6 linked regions of the Callithrix jacchus genome follow. The protein of the gene in region 1 purifies or fractionates together with the protein of each later gene. This does not show direct contact. Links are inferred from orthologs where the notes say so. Each region holds a gene or a part of one and is shown in the gene's direction. Other genes may lie near its edges.

Region 1 (4,238 bases):
AAAGCTTCCTAGCCTCCCTAGTTTGGAACATTCTCAAGCATTATGTTTTTATAGATAAGAGAATTCCAGCTAAGCTACATTGGATCCAAGACAGCTTTCCATGAATCACCCATGACTCTGTTTTCTGGTTTTATGTTGCTTTCCTTGAGGAGGACTGAGGATCCTGTACCACCTCCTAAATTGAAATCATGGTGATTGTTCATAATTTTTCAATAAATACGTATGGGACATGCTTTATGTTCTAGACACTGTGCTAGATGTTGGGACAAGATAGGCAAAGTCTGAGCCCTCCAAGGTATGACACGGGAAATGATGAGAAATGTCCTGGCTTGCACCCAGTTATTTCTAATACAAGAAACTAAGAGAATCAGACAGGATCTGATTCTTCTGCTCATTGTAACAAGCTTTAGCATAGGTGTAGGTTGATAATGGATGTAGGCATGAGGTTATAATGCCTTGCCCATTTACATTTATCTTGTTCAGTTTTTACACATGACTCTGTTCATCGGGAATGCAGGGCAGAAATTCCTAAGGGTTTTCCTGAACTAAGGGTTCAGGAAAGGTCAATTGACTTGCCTAAATTTGATGAGACTCATGCCCTATTCTTCTTACTCCAAGAGGCCTAAGTTAAAGGCTTAAAATCCTCTTCACTGATGGCTCTTCAGGATAGGAGTCAGTTTCAAGTCTTCAGTGTAATGGTTTTTTTAAATGCTTCTCAAAGGGAAATATCAGAGACTTTCCTGAATCAGAACCACCTAAGATGTACTATAAAAATACATGCTCTTGATGCCGTCCTCTGACCTACCCAATTAGATTCCCTGTGAGTCCTGGGAACTTGCATCTTAAACTCCTAGAGTGATTTTTCTGCGTGTAAGTTTAAGAACTACTAGGAGAGTTTGAATGGAGAGCCTAGCTTTGATGCAGGTTGACATTTGTTTTGGGGGGCAGATTTCATCAAGCATCTTGAAGAGTAACCACATGTCCTTGAACAGATGGGAATGCAGCAGCCTTCTGGCCGGAACTTGTCTCTTTTTTATGCAAGTGTTTTTTGGAATTTGGGGGTTCTGTTGAGCAGGTGCTCAGCTGCTGGGAACTACTCTCTGTTAAAGATCTTTTGGCTCTTCCCCAACATGCTATTTGTCCCTCTCGTTTCCCACCACAGAGCCAGGTATTTGCCCCGCCGGCCACGGTGAGGCGCGCGCGGCGTGTGCTGCCCGCTTATCTCTTTCTTCCCTAGTGCTCCTTCGCGCCCTTAAGGAGACAGTCCCTGGGGAATTTCTGCCTCTGGTCTACAGTTGTTGCTCTCTTCTCGCGAGAATTGCTTCTCCCATATTCTCCTCTCACGAAGCCCCGCCCGCGGAGAGGTTCCATATTGGGTAAAATCTCGGTTCGCGGAGAGTTCCAGGAGCTGTTCTCGCGAGAGTACGGGGAGGCTCCCGTTTGCTGGCTCTGGAACCGGGACCACTGGATCCTCAGCGGGCGCAGCTGGAGCAGAAGTCCTGCGACGCAGCCCAGAGTCGGCCTAGTAGGGGCGAAGGTGCAGGGATATCGCGGCGGGCGCAGCCTTGAGCGCCAGAGCGCGTCCCTTCTCTTAACCGGGCTTGCCCCAGTCGCAGAGGCGCATCCAGCCGCTGCGGCTGACAGCAGCCGCGCGCGCGGGAGTCTGCGGGGTCGCGGCAGCCGCACCTGCGCGGGCGACCAGCGCGAGGTCCCCGCCCGGTTGGGCGGGCAGCAAGGGCCGGGGAGAGGGTGCGGGTGCAGGCGGGGGCCCCACAGGGCCACCTTCTTGCCTGGCGGCTGCCGCTGGAAAATGTCTCAGGAGAGGCCCACGTTCTACCGGCAGGAGCTGAACAAGACAATCTGGGAGGTGCCCGAGCGTTACCAGAACCTGTCTCCAGTGGGCTCCGGCGCCTATGGCTCTGTGTGGTGAGTGTCGCCGGGCCTCGCTGGGGCTGCTGTGGTCAGGGTGGCCCCTCGCGCCCGAGGGCCAGGCCTGCCCCACGGCTCAGCGTTGCGTCAAGTGGCAGGAATTTTCCTCGGGGGAGGGCATTGCTGCCCTTCGAGCCCTGCCTGTTCTGCACCTCCTGCACCCCTCGCCCTGCACTCGCGGGTATGTGGTCCACCGTGTGCAGCACTCAGGTCCGCTGCGAGAGGTAGGTGGTGGTGCTGGAGCTCGGTTCTGGGTAGCACCCTGCGCCTTCCCATCTCGGAGGGTTGCTGTTCGGCGGCAGGCGCCGGGGGCAGGGCTGCTTTCTTGGGGGGTCTCCCTACCGACCTGGAGCAGAAGGACCCTCTCCCGCGATGCGCCCACGCTGGAACGCGGGAGCCTGTCCTTTGAGCAGACAAGCTCGGGGAGCTCCCGGGAGAAGCAGAAGGGCAGAGGCCAACCCGAAGACTTCAGTCATCTGAACAAAACTGAGCAGGAAGGGAGCTCTCTCCGGGCTTTTTTTTTCCTTCTTTTTTTGCAAACCTCTGTCGAAATCCCATCTTGAGAAGCGTTCTTTTTGAATTCGCACTTGAGTTAGCACCGATCCATAGAGCTTAAAATACCGACTTTATCTCAGTGAGCACTGTGCCAGCTTGAGTGGTGTGTTTCCGATTCAGTTGAAAGCGTATTTCCTTTCCGTGGAGGGGCGGCGGTGGTAATGCTTGCAAGAACACTGCAGCTTGAGAAACTGGCAGCCTCACTGATTAGTCACATACCACTGCTCATTTAAGTATTGTTCGACAAAACAATTTTCTCCTTTGGAGCAAGAAAGATTCAGATCTGTGAGGTGCCCTCAAGATCAAAAAGTTATTAACAGTGCTGGGAGGTATTGTAAATTTCTTGTTGTGATAATTCCTGCGAATACTGTGGTTTAAAAGTCCCTCAGAGAGTTTGCAGGGAATTATCTGCATTTATGGCTTGAGGTACACGATGGTTTTCGTAAAGATATGGAACCACATAGAAAAGGAAGGGAAGAAATACTTTTTAGCTTTAATTTACACTATGAGTGTGTTTTAAATTAAGTCGATATCATATGATTTCCAGACCTGAAATATTTCACTAACTGACCTCTAACTTCCAAGGTTTTATACCCTGTATTTTAGATTTTGTATCATTTGAAAGCTATGGATCTGAAACTAAATATCAGATTTAACGGTTAGCTTTTTCTGTGTTTTAGTAATTCGTGTTTATGCAAGATTTGAAAAGGGGCCTGTAAAATCGTTTTTTGTTTTGGAACAAATTCCAGGCTTTTGGATGTGTTAATCTTTAAATATGATTGCTGTGTTTCCTGAAGTCACATCATGAATTTCCTGTTTGGTAGAATCTTCTGGGTAATTGAGATTGTGCAATTGTGTCCAGCAACAGATCATGTTGCATTTTCTAGTTCAAGCTGCTTAAGTTATGTTGTAGAATGCACCGTGCTTGACATCTTTCTCTCATTTTTACAGTGTGTCAGTTTACATTTTAAAGGAATTTGCAACATTTTACATTCAGAGAGAGAGAAAGAGAGTGTGTGTGTGTGTGTAGTTGATTTACAGCATTTTACATGCAGTATATACGTATATATATCTACTTGAATTGCTAATTTTCAAAGATGTATTTGGATCATTGCTCCTTTAATATTTTATGGCTCATTAATAGCTTTCCATTTTTTTCTTTCTTGAATTGACACATTCATTTCTGTAGTGTCGTGTTTTTGTTTTCAATGCTATTTAAATTTTAATGGAGTGATACAGCAGAATAAGTCAACTGTAGAGGGTTTGGGAAACTCCAATTGAATTGCTTGCAAGAGTTCACTGCTGTTGGTGACTCGCTCTGAACTGGAACAGGAGATCCAGATTTACAGTGAAGTGTCATTAAAATTAACTCCACATTTCTTTAGTGGTATATTTTTCTGTGGTATAGAAGTCAGCAGTATCTGACACTTAAAAGTACTTTTATTGAACAGGTTTTAAAAAATAGGTAGTGCATTGACATTGGATAAAATTTGAAAGCTTTAAAAAGGTATTCAGTGAAAAGTCTCCTTTCCTTTTTGTTCTCCAGTTACTCTACTGTCTCTTTTTTTTTTTTTTTTTTTTTTTGAGACAATCTCGCTCTGCCACCAGGCTGGAGTGCAGTGGCACAATTACGGTTCACTGCGACCTCCATCTCCCGGGTTCAAGCAGTTCTCCTGCCTCAGCCTCCTGAGTAGCTGGGACTACAGGCGCATGCTATCACGCCCAGCTAAGTTTTGTATTTTTAGTAGAGACAG
Region 2 (3,954 bases), on another chromosome or scaffold:
CACACCACTACGCCCGGCTATTTTTTAAATTTTTATTTTATACGGAATTTAGGTCTGTCACCCAGGCTAGAGTGCAGTGGCTCGATCTTGGCTCACTGCAACCTCCACCTCCTGGGTTTAAGCAGTTCTCCTGCCTCAGCCTCCAGAGTAGCTGAGACTACGCACGGGCACCACCACGCCTGGCTAATTTCTTTTTTATTTTTGAGACGAGTCTCACTGTTGCTCAGGATGGAGTGCAGTGCAGTGGCTGATCTTGGCTCACTGCAACCTCCGCCTCCCGGGTTCAAGTGATTCTCTTGTCTCAGCCTGCTGAGTAGCTGGGATTACAGGCACCGACCACCATGCCTGGCTAATTTTTTTGTATTTTTAGTAGAGACAGGGTTTCACCGTGTTAGCCAGGATGGTCTGTCTCCTGACCCCGTGATCTGCCCACCTCAGCCTCCCAAAGTGCTGGGATTACAGGCCTGAGCCACTGCCCCCGGCCGAGCCCGGCAAATGTTTGTATTTTTTTTTTTTTTTTTTTTTTTTTTGTACAGAGGAGGGATTCACCACGTTGGCCAGGCTTCTCTCGAACTGCTGGCCTCAAGTGTTTGTTCCACCCGCCTCGGCCTCCCAAAGTGCTGAGATTACAGGTGTGAGCCACCGCCCCGGGCCATGAACGTTTAGGTTATTCATCCACTCAAAACTATGCATTGAGCCCCGACCTTGTGCCACGCGCCACAGTGGGACTGTTGCAATAAGAACCTGGTACCCATTTCTCTACCCACGTGTGTGGGTGTACGGGTACCGATGGTCGCGTGAATTTAACATGCTCATCTATAGTGCCAGTGGCCCTCAAAAGGTCGAATCCACTAGCACAGCCACCTCCGGGGTTTGGCTGGGACTTGTCCATTTCGGAGGGCAGGTCTGGAAACCGCTGCCTTTCAGGAAAGGTGCTGACGTGGGCTACAGCCGCTTCGCTGGGAAGCAATGGGCCCAGTTAGGCCCGGGACGCGGCCACACCCCTGTGGGGGAGGGGAGGGAGGCCGCCCCGAAGGGAGTGGACAGCCCCCCTGTCAGTCTTCCCGAGTCCGGGAGTGTAAGATGAGACGGGGAAGGTGGGCCTCGTTCTAGGGGAAGGCGAGGAGGAACTTCCTGCCCCTGCGCTCCAAGGTGCAGAGCCCTAAGCGCGCGGCCTGGCAGGCTGCAGCGTGTCAAGGTCAGCCTGGAGCTGGGTGGCGGCCTGCCTGGGGGCGGGGTACCCAACTGCGGGGCCCGGCTGAGGCCTCCCAGCCCCTCGGCCATATTGAATAGCCTGGGCTGGACCGTCTTTGTCTGCGAATTCCTCTTCCAAGTTCCAGCCGCGTCCCCGGTGCCTGGGGCAGGAAGAATCGCTGGCAGCTCGCGCGCCCCAACTTGGAGCTGGACCACCACGTTTCCAGCTTGGAGTGGGCCTTGAGCCTCGGGACTGACCTCGCCCCCGCCCACGTAAGCATCCTGGAAATTGATTCCTCCAAGTCCGTGGCAAGGGAGCAGGACTTGGTCAACACTGGACTTGGTACAGGCGAAGAGATAGGAGGCGTGGGCTCGTCCCTGGCCTGGGGAGGAGACTCTCCGATCAGCGTTGCTGGCACTCCCCCGGCCTCCAGTCCCTCCCTCAAGACTGTAGCTTGTTGGGGCTCATTGCCCCCTCACCTCAGATACCACTCTGGAGATCTTAAAGACTCTCGAGAAAAGCCACGTGGGGGGCTGGTTCCCCTGGGGCTTCCTCCCGTCCCCCGACTGCCTAATTCTTTGGAGCGTCCCCGATGTCTGCAAAGATGTGGATTTGGACGTCCTCGTGGAAGCCCTGAAGCCCGTGGGGACTTTTAAGAAGATCGGGAAGGTGTTCCGCAAGGAGGAGGACTCCACGGTGGGGATGCTGCAGATTGGGGAGGACGTCGATTATTTGCTCATCCCCCGGGAGGTCAGGCTGGCCGGGGGCGTCTGGAGAGTCATCTCCAAGCCCGCCACCAAGGAAGCAGAATTTCGGGAGCGGCTGATCCAGTTCCTGGAAGAAGAAGGCCGCACCCTGGAGGACGTGGCCCGAATCATCGAGAAGAGCACCCCGCACCCGCCCCAGCCCCCCAGAAAGCCCAGGGAGCCCCGAGTGAGGAGAAGAGTGCAGCAGATGGTGACTCCTCCGCCCCGGTTGGTCGTGGGCACCTACGACAGCAGCAATGCCAGCGACAGTGAGTTGAGCGACTTCGAGACCTCCAGAGACCAGAGCCGCCAAGGCCCGCGGCGGGGCAAGGCGGTGCGCAGGATGCCGGTCAGCTACCTGGGCAGCAAGTTCCTGGGCAGCGATCTGGAGAGCGAGGATGATGAGGAACTGGTCGAGGCCTTCCTCCGGCGAGAGGAGAAGCAGCCCAGTGCGCCGCCTGCCCGCCGTCGCGTCAACCGGCCAGTGCCGATGTTTGAGGACAACCTGGGGCCTCGGCTGTCCAAGGCGGACAGGTGGCGGGAGTATGTCGGCCAGGTGTCCTGGGGGAAGCTGAAGCGGAGGGTGAAGGGTTGGGCGCCGAGGGCGGGACCCGGGGTGGGTGAGGCCCGGCTGTCCTCCACCGCATCAGGGAGCGCAGGAGTATCATCCGCGCCAGAGGGCACCAGCCCCAGGGATCGCGTGGGAAACGCGGGAGATGCCTGTGCGCCCCAGACCTCCCCCAGGCGATGGAGGCCCAAGATCAACTGGGCCTCCTTTCGACTCCACAGAAAGGAGCAGACAGCATCCACAGGTCAGGGGGCAGACTTCCAGGCTAATCATGGGGGAGAGGCTGCAGATAATCAGAGGGAAGGGGCCATAGCTGACCGGAGGGAAGAGGCCCCAGCTGACCAGGGGCCAGAGGCTGCAGATAACCAGAGAGAAGAGGTTGCTGATAATCAGAGGGAAGAGGCCGCAGCTGACCAGGGGCCAGAGGGTGAAGATAACCAGAGGGAAGAGGCTGCAGATAATCAGAGGGCAGAGGCCCCAGCTGACCAGGGGTCAGAGGCTGCAGATAATCAGAGGGCAGAGGCCCCAGCTGACCAGGGGTCAGAGGCTGCAGATAATCAGAGGGCAGAGGCCCCAGCTGACCAGGGGTTAGAGGCTGCAGATAATCAAAGGGAAGAGGCCGTACATGACCAGAGGGAAAGGTCCCCAGCTGTCCAGGGTGCAGATAATCGGAGGGCCCAGGCTGCACATAATCAGAGGGCAGGTGCCCCAGGCATCCAGGAAGCTGAAGCTTCAGCTGCCCAAGGGACCACAGGGACAGCTTCAGGAGCCAGGGCCCGGAAACAGGTCAAGACAGTGAGGTTCCAGACCCCTGGACGCTTTTCGTGGTTTCGCAAGCACCGGAGAGCCTTCTGGCACACTCCCCGGTTGCCAACCCTGCCCAAGAGAGTCCCCAGGGCCGGTGAGGCCAGGAACCTCAGAGTGCTGAGGGCTGAGGGCAGAGCAGAAGCTGAGCAGGGAGAGCAAGAAGACCAGCTGTGAAGTGGGAGCTAGGGACAGCGCACAGGCCCTCCCTCCGTGTGGGGGAGAGAGGTTGATCTTTCTGCCTCTGAACTTGAAAACGGAGGTGGATGCTGCCCACATCTCCACCTAAGCACCCTCTTTATTCTCTTGTTAAAATCTAGTCTCATGCTTTGATTTTTTTTGTTGTTATTTTTTAGAGACAGGGTCTCACTCTGTTGCCCAGGCTGGAGTGCAGTGGCATGATCGTAACTCACTGCAGCCTCAAACTTCTGGCCTCAAGTGATCCTCCTGCCTCGGCCTCCCAAAGCACTGGGATTACAGATGTGAGCCACCATGTGCACCACCTGATTTTTTAAAAAAAGACTGATTCCTTGTAGCAACCCAAAGAATGTAAGGAAAGAAATCGATAGGATAGGGTGGCATCACCCATAGTTTTAGCTTTCTCAGATGCAACTCAAGGTGCTCAGTTTGAAACAGGAGAG
Region 3 (3,212 bases), on another chromosome or scaffold:
AATTTGGAGAGAGCATCATGTCAGAGAATAGGTCGCGGGAAGAGCTGGGGAAAGTGGGCAGTCAGTCTAGCTTTTCGGGCAGCATGGAAATCATTGAGGTCTCCTGAGAAGAAAAACACTTGCGACTTCTATGGACAATTTTTTTTTCTGGTTCACAAAAGAATTCCCTGTAAATCTGAAATATATATATGTACATACATATATATTTTTAGAAAATGGAGCTATGGTGTAAAAGCAAAAGGTGGATCAACCCAGTTGTTACTCTCCTAACATCTGCATTTGAGAGATCAGCTAATACCTCTCTCAACAAAAATGGAAGGGCAGACGCTAGACTCCCCCAGACAGTCATCTGATTCAGTGACTCACACATCATCTTGTTCTTAAAAAGAAAGTGTATTTGGTGTCGGAGGACAAAATCCTCTACCATTTTCACATACTAAGAGATCTCAAACATTAGTCTCTGTCTGGTCCCTTCCATAGTACACCTTAGCGCCGAGACTGAGCCAGCCTGTGGGTCAGGTAGGTAGACCCTGTTAGGGACAGAGCCTAGTGGTGAATCCAAGAGAAACGATCCTTTCCAAAGCTGATTCACAAACCCACGCTCACCCGATAGCCGAGGGACACAGCATCACTCTGCTGGATGGACCATTAGGGGTCTTGCCAAGGTCTACTTTAGAGCAAACCCAGTACCTCAGACAGGAAAGTTGGGGCTTTGACCACTGCCATATCTGGTAGCCCGTTTTCTAGGCATTGTGAATAGGTAGGTAGCTAGTCACACTTTTCAGACCAATTCAAACTCTATGCACAAAATTCCAGTGGGCCTGGATGGAAGCAGTTAATTTTGTTTCCTTCTCAGCTTTATGAAGAGAAGGGAAAGTGTCTAGGATTCAGCTGAACAGCCAGGAACCTGGCAGCGTCATGATTAAAGCTAAGGTTGGGAGGCTAACGAGTCTCCCTCCCTCTGTATAAATCAAAGAATTGTTTAAATGGGATTGTCAATCCTTTAAATAAAGATGAACTTGGTTTCCAGCCAAATGTGAATTTATTTGGGTTGGTAACCAAGCAGCAGCACCTTCCACTTCTCAGCCAGAGTAGATATTTTTGCCATTTCTACTTCACTGCATGGACAGTTGGTAAAATGTAACAATACAGCAGAATTTTACAGGAAACTACCAAGGGAGGTAAATTATGAGAAGATTAAGAAAGGTAAAAATTGCTGAGGAGAAGCAGGAAACCTATTTCCTTAATGGCTTTTATCCCCTTGGCATGCGAGGGGGTGGTGTTTCTGTAATTAATTGCCTCAGACTTTCGAATTTACTAGTAGGGCTGAGAAAGGCTTTAGTGAGCAAGGAATATTCAGAATAAAACTGTTAAGAAAGCTGAGAAGACCGTTGAGTTTTGATCAGTTATGAGCAGAGTGCAAAGCCATGGCCAAGCTATTTTCAGAAACTCTGGCTGGCATGTCTTCAGTGGAAGGGGCGAATCCAAATGGAGCTGGAGCAAGGGGCATCCTCAGCCCTCAGCCTACAATCACTGTGGACTCGGTCCTGGCAGCTGAACGTAGGAGGTCACTGGAACAAGTGCGCAAGTGATAGTGCAAATCTGCTTTCAAACTTCCTCCTGGCTTTGGGTTTTGTCCACTACAATGTGGGTCCTCTTTTGAAGCCTAATTCATGACAGCAGCTTTTTTGGGAGTGAGACTGGGCGGGTGCTGTCATTGTTCTTTCCTTTCCTGTAAGTGTCGCTAGTTGCTGCCTCGTATCTCAGGTTTTTCTCTGTTTGAGAAATGGACAGTTTTTTGACCAGGATGTGACTTCATGTTTCCTATGGTGACTTCTAAAACCAGCACAGAATGACATGACTCAACAGAGACTGGCGTGGTCACGGGGAAGATGAGCCGTACAGACATTAGCTGTGCACAAATAATGTGCCGTGATGGGTGATGGGGTGGGTGTAAGTGAAGGCAGAAGAGGGTTGGCCACATTGCTAAGGACACTGGGAAAGAGCTGGTCAATGATTCGAGTTAGTTTTTATACATACATTCAATGTAATCACATTCTCAAGTTTCACACAGTAATTTCTGATGTTATGTACACACACACACAAATGTGTAATGGTTCACCACTTGCGGAATGTGGTCACCTCCAAAACATTTTTAAGAAATGAAAGCAGTAGCTCCTTGCTAAGGATGTTTCAGGAGGTTTGAGGGACTGGGTTTTAATGAGCTGCTGTCATTTAGGGCGTCCCTTGGCCATGGTCCTCTTCTGTGACTGTGATGTAGTCACACACTACAGCCTTCAGTGCTGGTTCGCTCGTGTCAAATCATTTCGTGGAATGAAGACTGCCGTGGTGAAGGGGCAGCCTCGGAGGCCGGCTCTGGAGCTGCTTGGGTGTCTTTGGACAGGGTGGTGGCTGGCTCTCTTCAGCACATAATCGGGTAATCCTGGCACCTACTAGGGTGATATAGATGATGGTGATTTTAAAGAGCAAAACTAGACTTAGACTTCTAGGTGAGAAATGCTGGAAAACGACTTAGGACATGTGTAAAGCTAGATGGAAAGACTGTAAATGTTTAATATGAATATAGTGTTCTTTTGAAGTAAGGCCAGCTGTTGAATGGTTAAATTGTGCATTTCTCATTTTGATGTGTCATGTATGTTAATGTATGAAATGATGAAATAAAATCAAAACTGGTACCTGTTTATACATAAATATGAGAAAAGACCTATTTTTCAGCCATACACTTGGTGGGAATACCACCACCCAAGTTGCCAGAGGACGCCGTGGTGAAACCTGTCCTGTTCTTCTCATGTAAATGAGGATTTAGCTCAAAATAAAGTGATTTTGTCATCAGGTATATTCTGTTCTATCATGGCATGGAACACAGGATCATCAGCCAACAGTAAAAGCGTTGCTGTGTGCATGAAATGCGCACGATGGCGCAGAAGCCTAGGGCACTTGGTCAGTATTTTCTAGCTGACTGATTCCAGAACACACAAGTACATGATAGGAAGAAAAAAGCCAGCTACACACTCATGGTCCACTTCAATTAACAATGTTATGATTCCAACAGGAAAAACAGGAAGGGCAATTGTTGAAGATCTAACCTCTGTCCTTGCCACGTACATCTTAGTGACCTCTCTGCTCATGACAGTAGATTTGACGACTTAGTGAGACTAGAAGCTTAGTTTCATCAGTTTCATAAAAATGAG
Region 4 (3,678 bases), on another chromosome or scaffold:
CAGGCATGAGCCACTGCACCCAGCCTTGTGGGGCCCTTTCAAGCCCTTTGACCCTTGCTTTCTCTTCACCACTCTTCCAAATTTTAGAAGTGAGACCACTCAAGATTTCATAAACTTGTTTAGGATCAGTGGTGAAGATAGCAGGAAAAGCAGGAGCTTTGCAGTCAGATCTGGATTTACCATGTCCGTCTCTGTCCTGTTGTGAAGTCATTTAACACCTCTGAGCCTCAGTAGTTTATCTTTAAAGTTGGGATAATCACACCTCATAAAAATTTGTGAGGACTTTAAAAGATGCTACATAATGTGCTTACACAGTGCCTGAGCACATATGCTAATAAAGCACCAAGTTCTCTCTTTTTCCCTTGCCTTCAGGATAGAAAGTGTTCTCTTGTGGAGCAGAAATGAAGAATCTAGCAGATAGTATTGAGATAACATTACTAGCCTTGTCTCATTTCCTGTGCTTAGTATATTTAGTCATAGGTTTCAATGCCTTCGCCTTTTCCAGATTTATTAAAACTAGTGACCCATAACGTGGATGAAATGTGAAAATGTCAGTGTGACTTCTGAAATCAAAAGCTTAGATGTCATGTGGCAACTGAACATGTTTCTTTTTCTTTCCCTGTATGATTAATTTTGATATGAACAACATGACTTTCTAACTCCAAATTAACCAGAAGACTCCCTTGGCCAGCGCACCATGTTGCTGCAGCTCTCAGGCTGGTTACGCAGTGGGTAGTTTCCTAGCTAGGAGCTTCTCTGTGGCCCCATTTCACATCTGGCACACAAGACAGCCTCGGCCCATCTGGATTCTCCCCCACATCATGCCCTTTTTCCTGGTTCCACAGACTTGATTCACTGTCACAATGTTTTGTTTTTTAAAATAGGACCTGCTGCAGCTACAATACGAAGGAGTTGCAGTCATGAAATTATTTGATAGAGCTAAAGTAAATGTCAACCTCCTGATCTTCCTTCTCAACAAAAAGTTCTACGGGAAGTAATTGGTCACTTGCTGCCAGCCCAGAAGGATGAAGGAAAGAAGCACCCCACAGCTGCCTTTCTAGATCCTTCTTTACTCATTGGAAGCAAAGACCTAGCCCACAACAACGCCTCAATCTGATGCATTCCCAATGCCACATTTTTAACTCCTCTCCTTCTGATGGGACATTTGTTACCCTTTTTTCATAGTGAAATTCAGGCTTAGTCTGGCGTTTCTGTATTCTTCATTTTCTTCCATTACTTAGGAAAGAGTGGAAACTCCACTAAAATTTCTCTGTGTTGTTACAGTCTTAGAGGTTGCATTACTATATTGTAAGCTTTGGTGTTTGCTTTAATTAGCAATAGGGATGGTAGGATTCAAATTTTTGTCATTTAGAAGTGGAAGCTATTAGCACCAATGACCTACATACATAAGACATACAACTAAAATGTCATGTTCTTAACAATTGTTAGGATGTCATTTAAAAGTGAATGTCATGTTGCTAACAGCTGTTAGGTTGTCATTTAAAAGTAAAGTTCCTTTCTATTTCTGTCCTATCAGGAAAGTTGAAGGATATGAGGATCATTGCTTCTCTCCCATTGTGCTTTTCTTTATGGACAGGAGCTAATAGAAGTGACTGTTGTATATTCAAAGGATCCATTTCTAGAAAAATGAGGTAGTGTTTTTAAATTTCATCATCAAACTTGGGCAATTCTGTTTGTGTAACTCTCCGTCTAGTGGATGGGAGAGTCCGGTTGATAAAATTCAGCTACCTAGGTAAATTCAGAATGGGTGAAGATACCTGCCTGCTTGTGTTGGTGCATAGAGATTGACTTGATTCAAAGAGACAATTCACTCCATCCCTCTGGCAGAGGAATGAGTTGGCCCTAGTGTAGAATTGTCATTGTTTTTTTTAAAACTTTTATATCTTAAGAGTGTCTTATCGAAATATAGATCTATTTCTTAAAATGTGGGTGATAGGAATTTTAAAGATTTATAATGCATTTTAAAGATTTTTGATGCATTTAAAATGCATCAAAAGCTTTAGATTAAGAAAACGGTTTTTTTAAATTGGTTTATCTGTATATCTGAACTCTTGAAACTTATAGCTAAAACACTAGGATTTATCTGCAGGATTGCAGAGAGATAATTCTGCCTTAAATTGTCTAAAACAAAAACAAAACCAGTCAACTTTTGTTACATGTGAGATTGAAACCAATTTTTCTCCCTTTTTTTTTCCTCCTTTTTTCTTTTGCTGCCCACATTGTGCCTTTATTTTATGATCCCCAGTTTTCTGGGCTTATTAAAAAAAAAGAAAAATCAGTTCTAAACATTGAATTTAGAAAGCTTTTGTTCTTGAATAAAAAGTAGTATACTTTTTAAAAATCTGTTTATCCAGGAAAATATATTAAAATCATGCCGTTGAGCCTCTATTTTCTTTTATGTTTTGGTTCGGTATTCTTTTATCATAAATTTTTAGCATTTAAAAATTTACTGATGTACATTTAAAGCCAATAAACTGTTTTAATGAATAACAAGCCATGTGGCATGTCCCTATTGTAAATGCATTGGAGAAGTCTTTTTATGAGACTCTTGACTCAGGTCCATGGTTACAGCCCACAGGGAGGCGCAGAGTGCCATGGAAGGATTCGACACTACCCAGACCTTGTTTTTTGCTGTTTTGAAAGACAGGTTTTTTTAAAATAAACATTTCCTCAGATTAAAGGATGATGCTATTACAACTAGCACTGCCTCAAAAACTGGGACCAACCAAAGTGTGTCAACCATGTTTCCTTAAAAGAGACTGTCAGTCCCAAAGGCCACATCCAAGGCAGGCAATAACGAGCAGAGTTTACAGCTCCTTCTATAAAATGTGTCAATTATTTGTAAGGATTGTAGTCCCTCAGCACAACTGCTAATGCACTTCAAGGATGTTGATGATGACGATGTAGAATTATGGTTTTAGTGGCATGGAAGATACCTAACAAACTCCTGGCATTGAAACCATGCAGTTCTTGATACTGTTATTTATTAGCAGTAGCATTCTGTCCCCTCTCTCCTCCTTTGACCTTCTCCTACACCAGACATCATGACATTTACCATGAATTTACTTCCTCCCAGGAATCTGGACTGCCCATCAGATTGTTGCTGCGCACAATTGCCTTTGTATCTCTGTATGAAATAAAAGGTCATTTGTTCGTTGTTTGTGTTTTTCTCAGTTTCGTTGTTAACAGTTGGCTACACATCTTGACTAGAGTGAGATGTAATAGTTAAAACCACAACAGCAAACAACCCCTTTCTTTTTAAGGGGAAAACATAAGTCCACTGTCAAATCACTGAGTGTCTTAAAGTGATTTTTAATGTGTGAATGTGTGACTTCAGCCTTTTTAATGGATATGCTCAAGTTATCTTCACCATAAAAAGAAGGGGGTGAGGGGAAGCAAACATTATTTGTCACTTAATTCTGATTGACTAATGGTATAAAGTTTAAAATTGCAACAGCATTTCACCTTTTTTTGACTGACACACTAGGTGTTGAGTACACAGAGAGTGCCCCTTAGGGGGCTTCTGGGTTACATGCGAGTCACCAGGAAAGACTAGGGGATGTTGAAGATGGAAAAAGTAAGTCCCAGCAGGAAAAAAAAGGGAGGGGGGGCTGGGCATGGTGGCTCACGCCTGTAATCCCAGCACTTCGGGAGGCT
Region 5 (4,075 bases), on another chromosome or scaffold:
GCAGGGACAGGGTTGCAGGGCCAGTGGCCTCCTTCCAGGAGGGACTCTGCTGCAGTCGGGCCCAGAGCAGGGCGGACAGGCCTGGCTGGCAACAGCAGGACCCTCCCAGCTCACTCACCATGGCTTGAAACTGCACAGATAGGAGGGCCCTTGGAAATCACATGATCCCACCTCTCTCCCCAAAAGTACAGACCAGGAAATGGAGACCCAGAGATGGGGCAGGGACTGGGCTCCAGAGGCAAAGCTGCTGCCCTTGTCTCTTCCAGGGGTAATGACTCAGGGGAATTCAGCGCTGCCGCAGACACAGCCAGGCAGCCAGTGGAGCTGCTGGCACCCCAGCCCTCCCTGCCGCACCTTATTCTGCGCTCATATCCTCCTGCTGGATCTCAACCTCTCCTCCACTGCAGGCAGGAGGCCAGGCTCATGCACCGCTGGCCTGGGAGCCCCAGAAAGGCCAGGTGCACACCTCGGACGGCTGCCTCCCCTCCCCTCCCCATGCAATCTTCCGCACTCACGCTCGTTCAGGCTCTAGGCTTCTGAACTCAGCCAGCCCGAGCCCCATCCTACTTTGCCACTACACTATCGTGCCACCACCAGGGAGCCACGGCCTCAGTTTCCCGGGCTGTAACATGGGGACAATCTCCTCAGACTTCCAGAACTGCTGTAAGGATAAAATGAGGTCCTTGGTGCCAATGGGTGTGACCTGTGGTACAAAGGAGAAAGCTAACGGGACCTGGTGACAACACCCGCTCCCTACTTGCTCCCAGCCCCTCCCTCAACATCCTGGCTCCACCCCTTCCAGGCACTGAGGCTCAAATGCTATTACTAGTAGCCAGAATCTGACATATGAGAATAAGAGGAGACACTGCAGGGGGCCCCTTGGCTGGGGTGCCAGTGCAGATTCTGCGGAGCAACCGTCCCCCTAGCCCAGGCCCAGCCTAGTTCAGGGCCCCCAACCCCACTCCGGCGCTCCAAGCTCCGAAGTCCCCACTCAGTAGCACCATTGGGGACCGGGAAGCGCAGGGCGCGTCGTGCAGGACGGGCGGAGAGGGCAGAAGCTTGCAGGTGGGAGGAAGGCGGGCGGGGGCGTGGGAGGTGGAGGGAGACGCCGGGAAGGCCGCGGCCCCTCCCCGCTCCCTCCCTGCGCGCCGCCAGCTACATTGCCCCTCCTGGGCAGGGGGCGGAGAAGACGGCGATGGGAGGGGAGGAGGCGGTGGCGGAGGCGGAGGAGGCGGAGGCGGAGGAGGCGGTGGCGGCGGCGGCGGCGGCGGGGGCGGGATTTGGAGTTTCCCTCCGCAGCGCCGGCGGCTGCCCCTCAGCTCCTGGCAAGGCCGCCGCCCGGGGTTCCGGTGGCGTTCGGCGGCAGCAGTGGCGCTTCCCGCCGACCGAGCTTCAGAAACTTCCCGGCCGCGACGCAGGGAACAGGCTCAGAGAACCGAGCGGAGCAGAGGTGAGTGGAGCACACGACGTCCTGGGGACCCCCACCCCACCCCACCCGGCCTGGCTGACCCCCCCTACGTGCACCCCCTCCTCCACCCCACACCCCCAAAGTCCTGACAAGGCACTCCCCACGAAGCCGGCGCACGCGCCCCTAGGAGACCCATTGGGTGCTGCCGCCGCACACCCGTGCACCCCTCCCGTGCACCTCCCGTGTCCACTGCCACTTAGACCGGCTGCACACTCGCGCGCACACAAACCACGCATCACAGAGCCGGGTCCCTGTAATGCACACACTAGCATCCCCTGTACCACTACTCACCACTGTCCCCAACTCATGCCAACCCACCGAGACCCTGCCACGCCCCAGTACACACCCAGGCGCACACGCACGCTTCCAACACATCTCTGCGATACCTGCACTAACATAGCTCCCCCTACCATGCTCTTGCCACCTTGAACTCCCCATATCCCATGACAGACACCCCACCCAGGTGCCCAGCCCAGAGACACTGCAGTCCACCCACCCGGGAGCGAGGTCCCATCACAAATCCACATCCCAGCGGCCGATACTCCCCACGTCCCAGGCACACACCTCCAGCATCTCCAGCGCGCACTCTCATCCGCCCCAGCACGCGCGCACACCTGCTGGATTCACGCTCTCCAGCACCCTACCCCGCCCCCATCACAAATAGCCTTCGACACCCCCAGCACATCTCTGAGTCCCTCCCTCCCAACACCTGGCACGCGGGCTCTAGAGGCTGCAGCATTTGGTGGCATCCCTGCCAGGCACCTCTGGCTCTCCTTCGGCAGCGTCTCATCAGCCTTCGGCTCCCCAGGTGCCTCCCTAAACAGACCTTGAGACTCCCCAGCGACTGACTTGGCCTCTTCCCTAAGAGATAAAGAAGGCACTTGGGGTGCAAGGTAGGGTACTTAGATGCGGAGGCAAGGGGCCGGGGGGAGGGGCGGGGTGGAGGCAGAGAGCGCCCGCCGCTGAAATGGAGGCGTCCCAGGTGGGACCAAAGGGGCGCCAGCTGCCCGACCAGCCCGTAGTAGGTGGGTTCCATGCGGGCTGGAGTCCGCGCGCGCTGTCTGGGTGCCGGCCTGTGTGTGTGTTACGGGGAGAGCTGTATGTGCACGTGTGCTTATGCGTGTCGGGGTGGGGGAGGAGTGTGTAATCGGCAGAAGGAAAAGCAGGAGCAGCTCCCTCAGGCAACAATTGGTTTCATTCATTCATGCCTTCTTTGTTAACGAGCATTTCTTCCGCGAGCGCCGGGCGCGTGCCAGGCCCTGCACTGGGGGCTGGGGCCAGCTTGGGGCCGGGCACACACACGTTCCTGCCTTGGAGGAACTCCCAGTCCCGCGAGGAGACCGACCATCCCCAGCAGAAAGTGGATTTGATGGAAAAGACACTGGATTTGGCAGACACGCTGTCTCTGGGACTTGTGCTCTTGGCCATGTGACCCGGCCGCGACAGCCGAAATCCTGCCACTCGGCCCGGCGGGAATGGTGCATTTCGGGGTGGGAAGGCGGCGCGGCGCCGCTCTCGGGAGGCCCCCGGGACCAGAGGGCGCACTCGGCACGCGCGAGGCCTGCAGACGGCGGCTTCCTCGCGGCCTCCAGGGGGCGCTGGCCCGGCCGGGCGGAGGCCCGGGGCGCCCGGCAGGGGCGGGGGCGGGGTAGGCGGGCGCAGCGCCCACCCTGCGACGAGCAGCGAGCGCGCGGCCTGGCTCCGCCCGCCGGAGGGGGCCAGGAGAGGCCCGGGCGCGCGACGCGGCCTCTCCCTGCACGGCCCACCCGGGAGTGGCTGCGGGGCTCGGCGGCGCCCAGAGCTGGCGCTGCTGGGGGCCTGAGTGGGGGCAGTCAGGCGAGGGTCGCCGTTAGAGGGGGTTAGGAGGTTGGCTGCGCTCAGCCCTGCAGTGCGGAGGCCGCAACAGGTTCCCGTTTGTCCTGTTGCTGGCGCTGCGGGCGCTGTGGGCCCTGAACTCTCAGCTCTGACTTTGGAGATTGAGCCCCTCATGGCCTCCTCATGAGCCCCTTATGGCCCCCTCCTAAATTCTTTCTCCGGATGGGAAGGCTTGCCAGCACGGCTCCGCAGTTAGGTTCAGGGAGCCCCTCGCCCGGTCGGGAGCCAGGGACTCTTGGATCCCGGGCTTCCCCTCCCTTCACCATTTCGGAGGCTGCCTCTCTTCATCCTCATCCTAGCCCAGCTCCTCTCACCTCCAGGGAGCCCTCTCCAGAGTGGCCTAAGCACCTCAGGAGCTCCCTCTCCAGCCAGACTGAGCCCCCAGGCACAGGAGCGGGGAACACCGCTGTCCAGCTCCCGGCTGCTCACAGCCCTGTGCCACCCCTACTAGCCACAACCAGACTGGCACATGGCAGAACCTCGGTGGTGCCTTCAACCCCTGGCCACTCTGAGCTCCCACCCACAGCTGCAGTGGGCCTGGAGGCAGCCCCCGGGCTGGGCACCAGTGTACACCTCCACCACTGTGGGACTAGGCTGAGATAGGAGGAGGGAGAAGACAAAGTTCCTGCCCCAGGAACACACTGAGAAAGGGGGAAAGTGACCACACTGGGGAGCACAAAGGAGGGAGACTACTGGCTCCGAGTTGGGAGGGCTGCCTGGACGAGGGGACCT
Region 6 (2,525 bases), on another chromosome or scaffold:
AAAAAGGGGGCGTGGGGGCGTGGCCAGCACCTGCCCTCCGCCCCGCCCCGCTCACGCCCCGGGTCCGCCCCAGACCGCACTGTGGAGGTGCTCTCCGAGCTGCTGTCGGTGAGTGCCCGCGAAGGCGACGGCGCTACGTTCGAGTGCACCGTGTCGGAGGCCGAGACCACGGGGCGCTGGGAGCTCGGAGGCCGCCTGCTGAGACCCGGAGCCCGCGTCCGCATCCGACAAGAAGGTCTGGCCGCCAGGCTACCCTTTCGGGCCCCTCGCTGCCCCGCCCAGGCTCGGACAGACCCCGCCCCGCGGGACAAGCCCCACCTCCGGCTCGGACAGGCCCCGCCTCAAGGCCCCAGAGCCGCGTCCCGGGTCTCTCCTCCGCCCCCAGCCCCGAGTCCCGGACCGCTCCTCTACCCGCCCCGCTCTCCGGTTCCGCCCACCTTAGCGTACACTAACGGCGTCCGAACCGACCCAGGGGCCTGCTGCGGCCCCACCCGCGTCCCCAGCGCTCCTCTGAGGTGGCTCCGGCCTCGCTAGCGACCCCGTCACCCCCAGGGAAGAAACACATTCTGGTGCTGAGCGAGCTGCGCCCCGAGGACGCCGGTGAAGTCCGCTTCCAGGCGGGGCCCGCCCAGTCCTTGGCTCTACTGGAAGTGGAGGGTAAGCACCAGGGGCGGGAGCGACAGGGAAAGAACATCCTCTCCTCTCCTGCCAGGGGACTGACGGACCGGGGGTGGCCCCGGGAACGATGCCTTCCTCTTCCCCTTCCCGCGAAGGGCTCTCCTGGGCCGGGTCACAGAGGGCACCGCGTTTCCCTGGGAAGAGGAGACTTTGGATTTGAGGTGCAAGGGAACGGACCGGTGGCATAGAGGGCTAAGGCCCTGAGTGGAGGCTGCAGGGAGGGAAGATGCGTCTCTTCTCCTGGGGGCCATGTGTGTCCCTATTAACTTAAGCTCCCGCCCCCTACCCTCAGCATTGCCTCTCCAGATGTGCCGCCGCCCCCCTCGCGAGAAGACCATTCTGGTGGGCCGCCGGGCCGTGCTGGAAGTGACTGTGTCGCGCTCGGGGGGCCACGTGTTCTGGTTGCGGGAGGGGGCCCAGCTGTGCCCGGGAGATAAGTATGAGATGCGCAGCCACGGCCCCACCCACAGCCTGGTCATCCGTGACGTTCGACCTGAGGACCAGGGCACCTACTGCTGCCAGGCCGGCCAGGACAGCGCCCACACACGGCTGCTGGTAGAGGGTGAGTAAAGCCGACTGGGAAGAGGCAAGAGGGCGAGGGCACCTGGGAACCGATGGGCTAAGCCACACCTATGGGAGGCTTTCTAGGACTGTGGTGGCGGCAGGTCCTGAAATGTGTTGGAGGTGGGGGTGGGGGAGGGGAGGGATAGAGCACACCCAGGGCTGGAACTGCTTGACTCAGATCAGCTGCTCCTAGTCAGCTGTTCCCACCTTTCTATACCCCTTCCTGCCAGGCTTCTCTCTCTTGCCACTGGACCATGTTTCTCTCTCTTGAACAGCCCCATTTCTACCAGTTCCTCTCCTCTGTACCTCCCTAACACTGCCTGCCTCCAGCCTGTCCCTCCTCCCTCCTGCCCATCGCAGTGAGTTCCATGTCAGCCTTGGCAGAGGCCTCTTTCTTTCCTCTTACACATGTCTCACACGAAGAGACATCCCACCTTCTATCCCAAATCCCAGCATTCCCTCCAGATGCTGAGCTGTGTCCCACCCCTAGCTGACCCCCACCTTCCAAGACAGCCCTGACAGAGGCCCAGAAAGGGTAGGATAGAGCCTGTGGGCCCAGATCTTCCTGTGCTGGTGTCCAGGCTCTGCCTGGGGAGAGGAAGGTGGTACCCACTCTCTCCCCAGCCCCACGTGGAGTCATTCCTCTGCAGGTAACTAGGAGTACCGAACCAGGCCAGGCAGGTGCCCTTGGACAGCTTGGAAGGCGTGTGCCCCTACCCTGGGCAGGGGTGGAGAAACAGGGAGACCAGAGATGTCAGGAAACAATAAAAGTGCTACAGCTCATTCCCTTGGCTCTCTGAGTGATGTGGGAGGGCAGACATTGCCTGTCGCCCCTGTGCAGTGAATGACACTGGGGACTGAGGGCTGTAGTGCTTATACCTGGCCCATGAAAGTGCCAGCCACCAAAGACCACTATTCCTGGCAGAGGCCACGCAGTTTGGCACATTTATAAAAGATGTAAAACAAAGTGGGATGGGGGAGACAGAAGCATGAGGTGTCCAGGTTGGCATGACAGACACCAGACATGCACCGTGCATTTAAGCCCCTCCCCAACTCCCTTCCCAACCCAGCCTGGCCCAGAGCAGCACCCCCCACCCCCATCTCCTGCCACTGCCCTCAGGCTGGTGGCTTTGTAGAGGCCAGGGGACCAGGGTGAGGGGTGCTACAGTTTGCCCCACAGACAAGGACAAGAACCCTTAGATGAGTCTGGCTGGGAGGCAGGGTGATGGGGAGGAAGGCAGCCCCTCCGCGGAGACATGCAGGAGGTGGCCCATGGGACTCCG

Evidence for each region.
Region 2: the proteins of MAPK14 (region 1) and CCDC8 purify together in Homo sapiens (affinity purification with mass spectrometry; 3 studies listed by BioGRID and IntAct, counting the BioPlex papers as one, with this or other methods). This does not show direct contact. The link is inferred for Callithrix jacchus from reciprocal best matches to the Homo sapiens genes MAPK14 and CCDC8.
Region 3: the proteins of MAPK14 (region 1) and DUSP16 purify together in Homo sapiens (affinity purification with mass spectrometry; 7 studies listed by BioGRID and IntAct, counting the BioPlex papers as one, with this or other methods). This does not show direct contact. The link is inferred for Callithrix jacchus from reciprocal best matches to the Homo sapiens genes MAPK14 and DUSP16.
Region 4: the proteins of MAPK14 (region 1) and IQGAP1 purify together in Homo sapiens (affinity purification with mass spectrometry; 3 studies listed by BioGRID and IntAct, counting the BioPlex papers as one, with this or other methods). This does not show direct contact. The link is inferred for Callithrix jacchus from reciprocal best matches to the Homo sapiens genes MAPK14 and IQGAP1.
Region 5: the proteins of MAPK14 (region 1) and DUSP9 purify together in Homo sapiens (affinity purification with mass spectrometry; 8 studies listed by BioGRID and IntAct, counting the BioPlex papers as one, with this or other methods). This does not show direct contact. The link is inferred for Callithrix jacchus from reciprocal best matches to the Homo sapiens genes MAPK14 and DUSP9.
Region 6: the proteins of MAPK14 (region 1) and OBSL1 purify together in Homo sapiens (affinity purification with mass spectrometry; 6 studies listed by BioGRID and IntAct, counting the BioPlex papers as one, with this or other methods). This does not show direct contact. The link is inferred for Callithrix jacchus from reciprocal best matches to the Homo sapiens genes MAPK14 and OBSL1.

What each region holds. Positions count from the first base shown.
Region 1 is NC_133505.1:44,336,287-44,340,524, forward strand, and holds the start of MAPK14 (mitogen-activated protein kinase 14), read left to right. Parts: upstream 1-1,438; 5' UTR 1,439-1,810; coding exon 1,811-1,926; intron 1,927-2,100; exon of another isoform or gene 2,101-2,112; coding exon of another isoform or gene 2,113-2,153; intron 2,154-4,238. UniProt on the Homo sapiens protein: Serine/threonine kinase which acts as an essential component of the MAP kinase signal transduction pathway.
Region 2 is NC_133523.1:40,427,056-40,431,009, reverse strand, and holds the start of CCDC8 (coiled-coil domain-containing protein 8), read left to right. Parts: upstream 1-1,154; 5' UTR 1,155-1,897; coding exon 1,898-3,490; 3' UTR 3,491-3,954. UniProt on the Homo sapiens protein: Core component of the 3M complex, a complex required to regulate microtubule dynamics and genome integrity. It is unclear how the 3M complex regulates microtubules, it could act by controlling the level of a microtubule stabilizer.
Region 3 is NC_133510.1:10,833,881-10,837,092, forward strand, and holds the end of DUSP16 (dual specificity protein phosphatase 16), read left to right. Parts: coding exon 1-107; 3' UTR 108-2,712; downstream 2,713-3,212. UniProt on the Homo sapiens protein: Dual specificity protein phosphatase involved in the inactivation of MAP kinases. Dephosphorylates MAPK10 bound to ARRB2.
Region 4 is NC_133507.1:19,899,455-19,903,132, reverse strand, and holds the end of IQGAP1 (ras GTPase-activating-like protein IQGAP1), read left to right. Parts: intron 1-884; coding exon 885-998; 3' UTR 999-3,178; downstream 3,179-3,678. UniProt on the Homo sapiens protein: Plays a crucial role in regulating the dynamics and assembly of the actin cytoskeleton.
Region 5 is NC_133524.1:149,567,497-149,571,571, forward strand, and holds the start of DUSP9 (dual specificity protein phosphatase 9), read left to right. Parts: upstream 1-1,275; 5' UTR 1,276-1,450; intron 1,451-2,157; exon of another isoform or gene 2,158-2,361; intron 2,362-4,075. UniProt on the Homo sapiens protein: Inactivates MAP kinases. Has a specificity for the ERK family.
Region 6 is NC_133507.1:141,292,702-141,295,226, reverse strand, and holds the end of OBSL1 (obscurin-like protein 1), read left to right. Parts: intron 1-73; coding exon 74-235; intron 236-552; coding exon 553-657; intron 658-970; coding exon 971-1,240; intron 1,241-1,472; coding exon of another isoform or gene 1,473-1,513; exon of another isoform or gene 1,514-1,517; coding exon 1,518-1,714; 3' UTR 1,715-1,892; coding exon of another isoform or gene 1,893-1,900; 3' UTR 1,901-2,025; downstream 2,026-2,525. UniProt on the Homo sapiens protein: Core component of the 3M complex, a complex required to regulate microtubule dynamics and genome integrity. It is unclear how the 3M complex regulates microtubules, it could act by controlling the level of a microtubule stabilizer.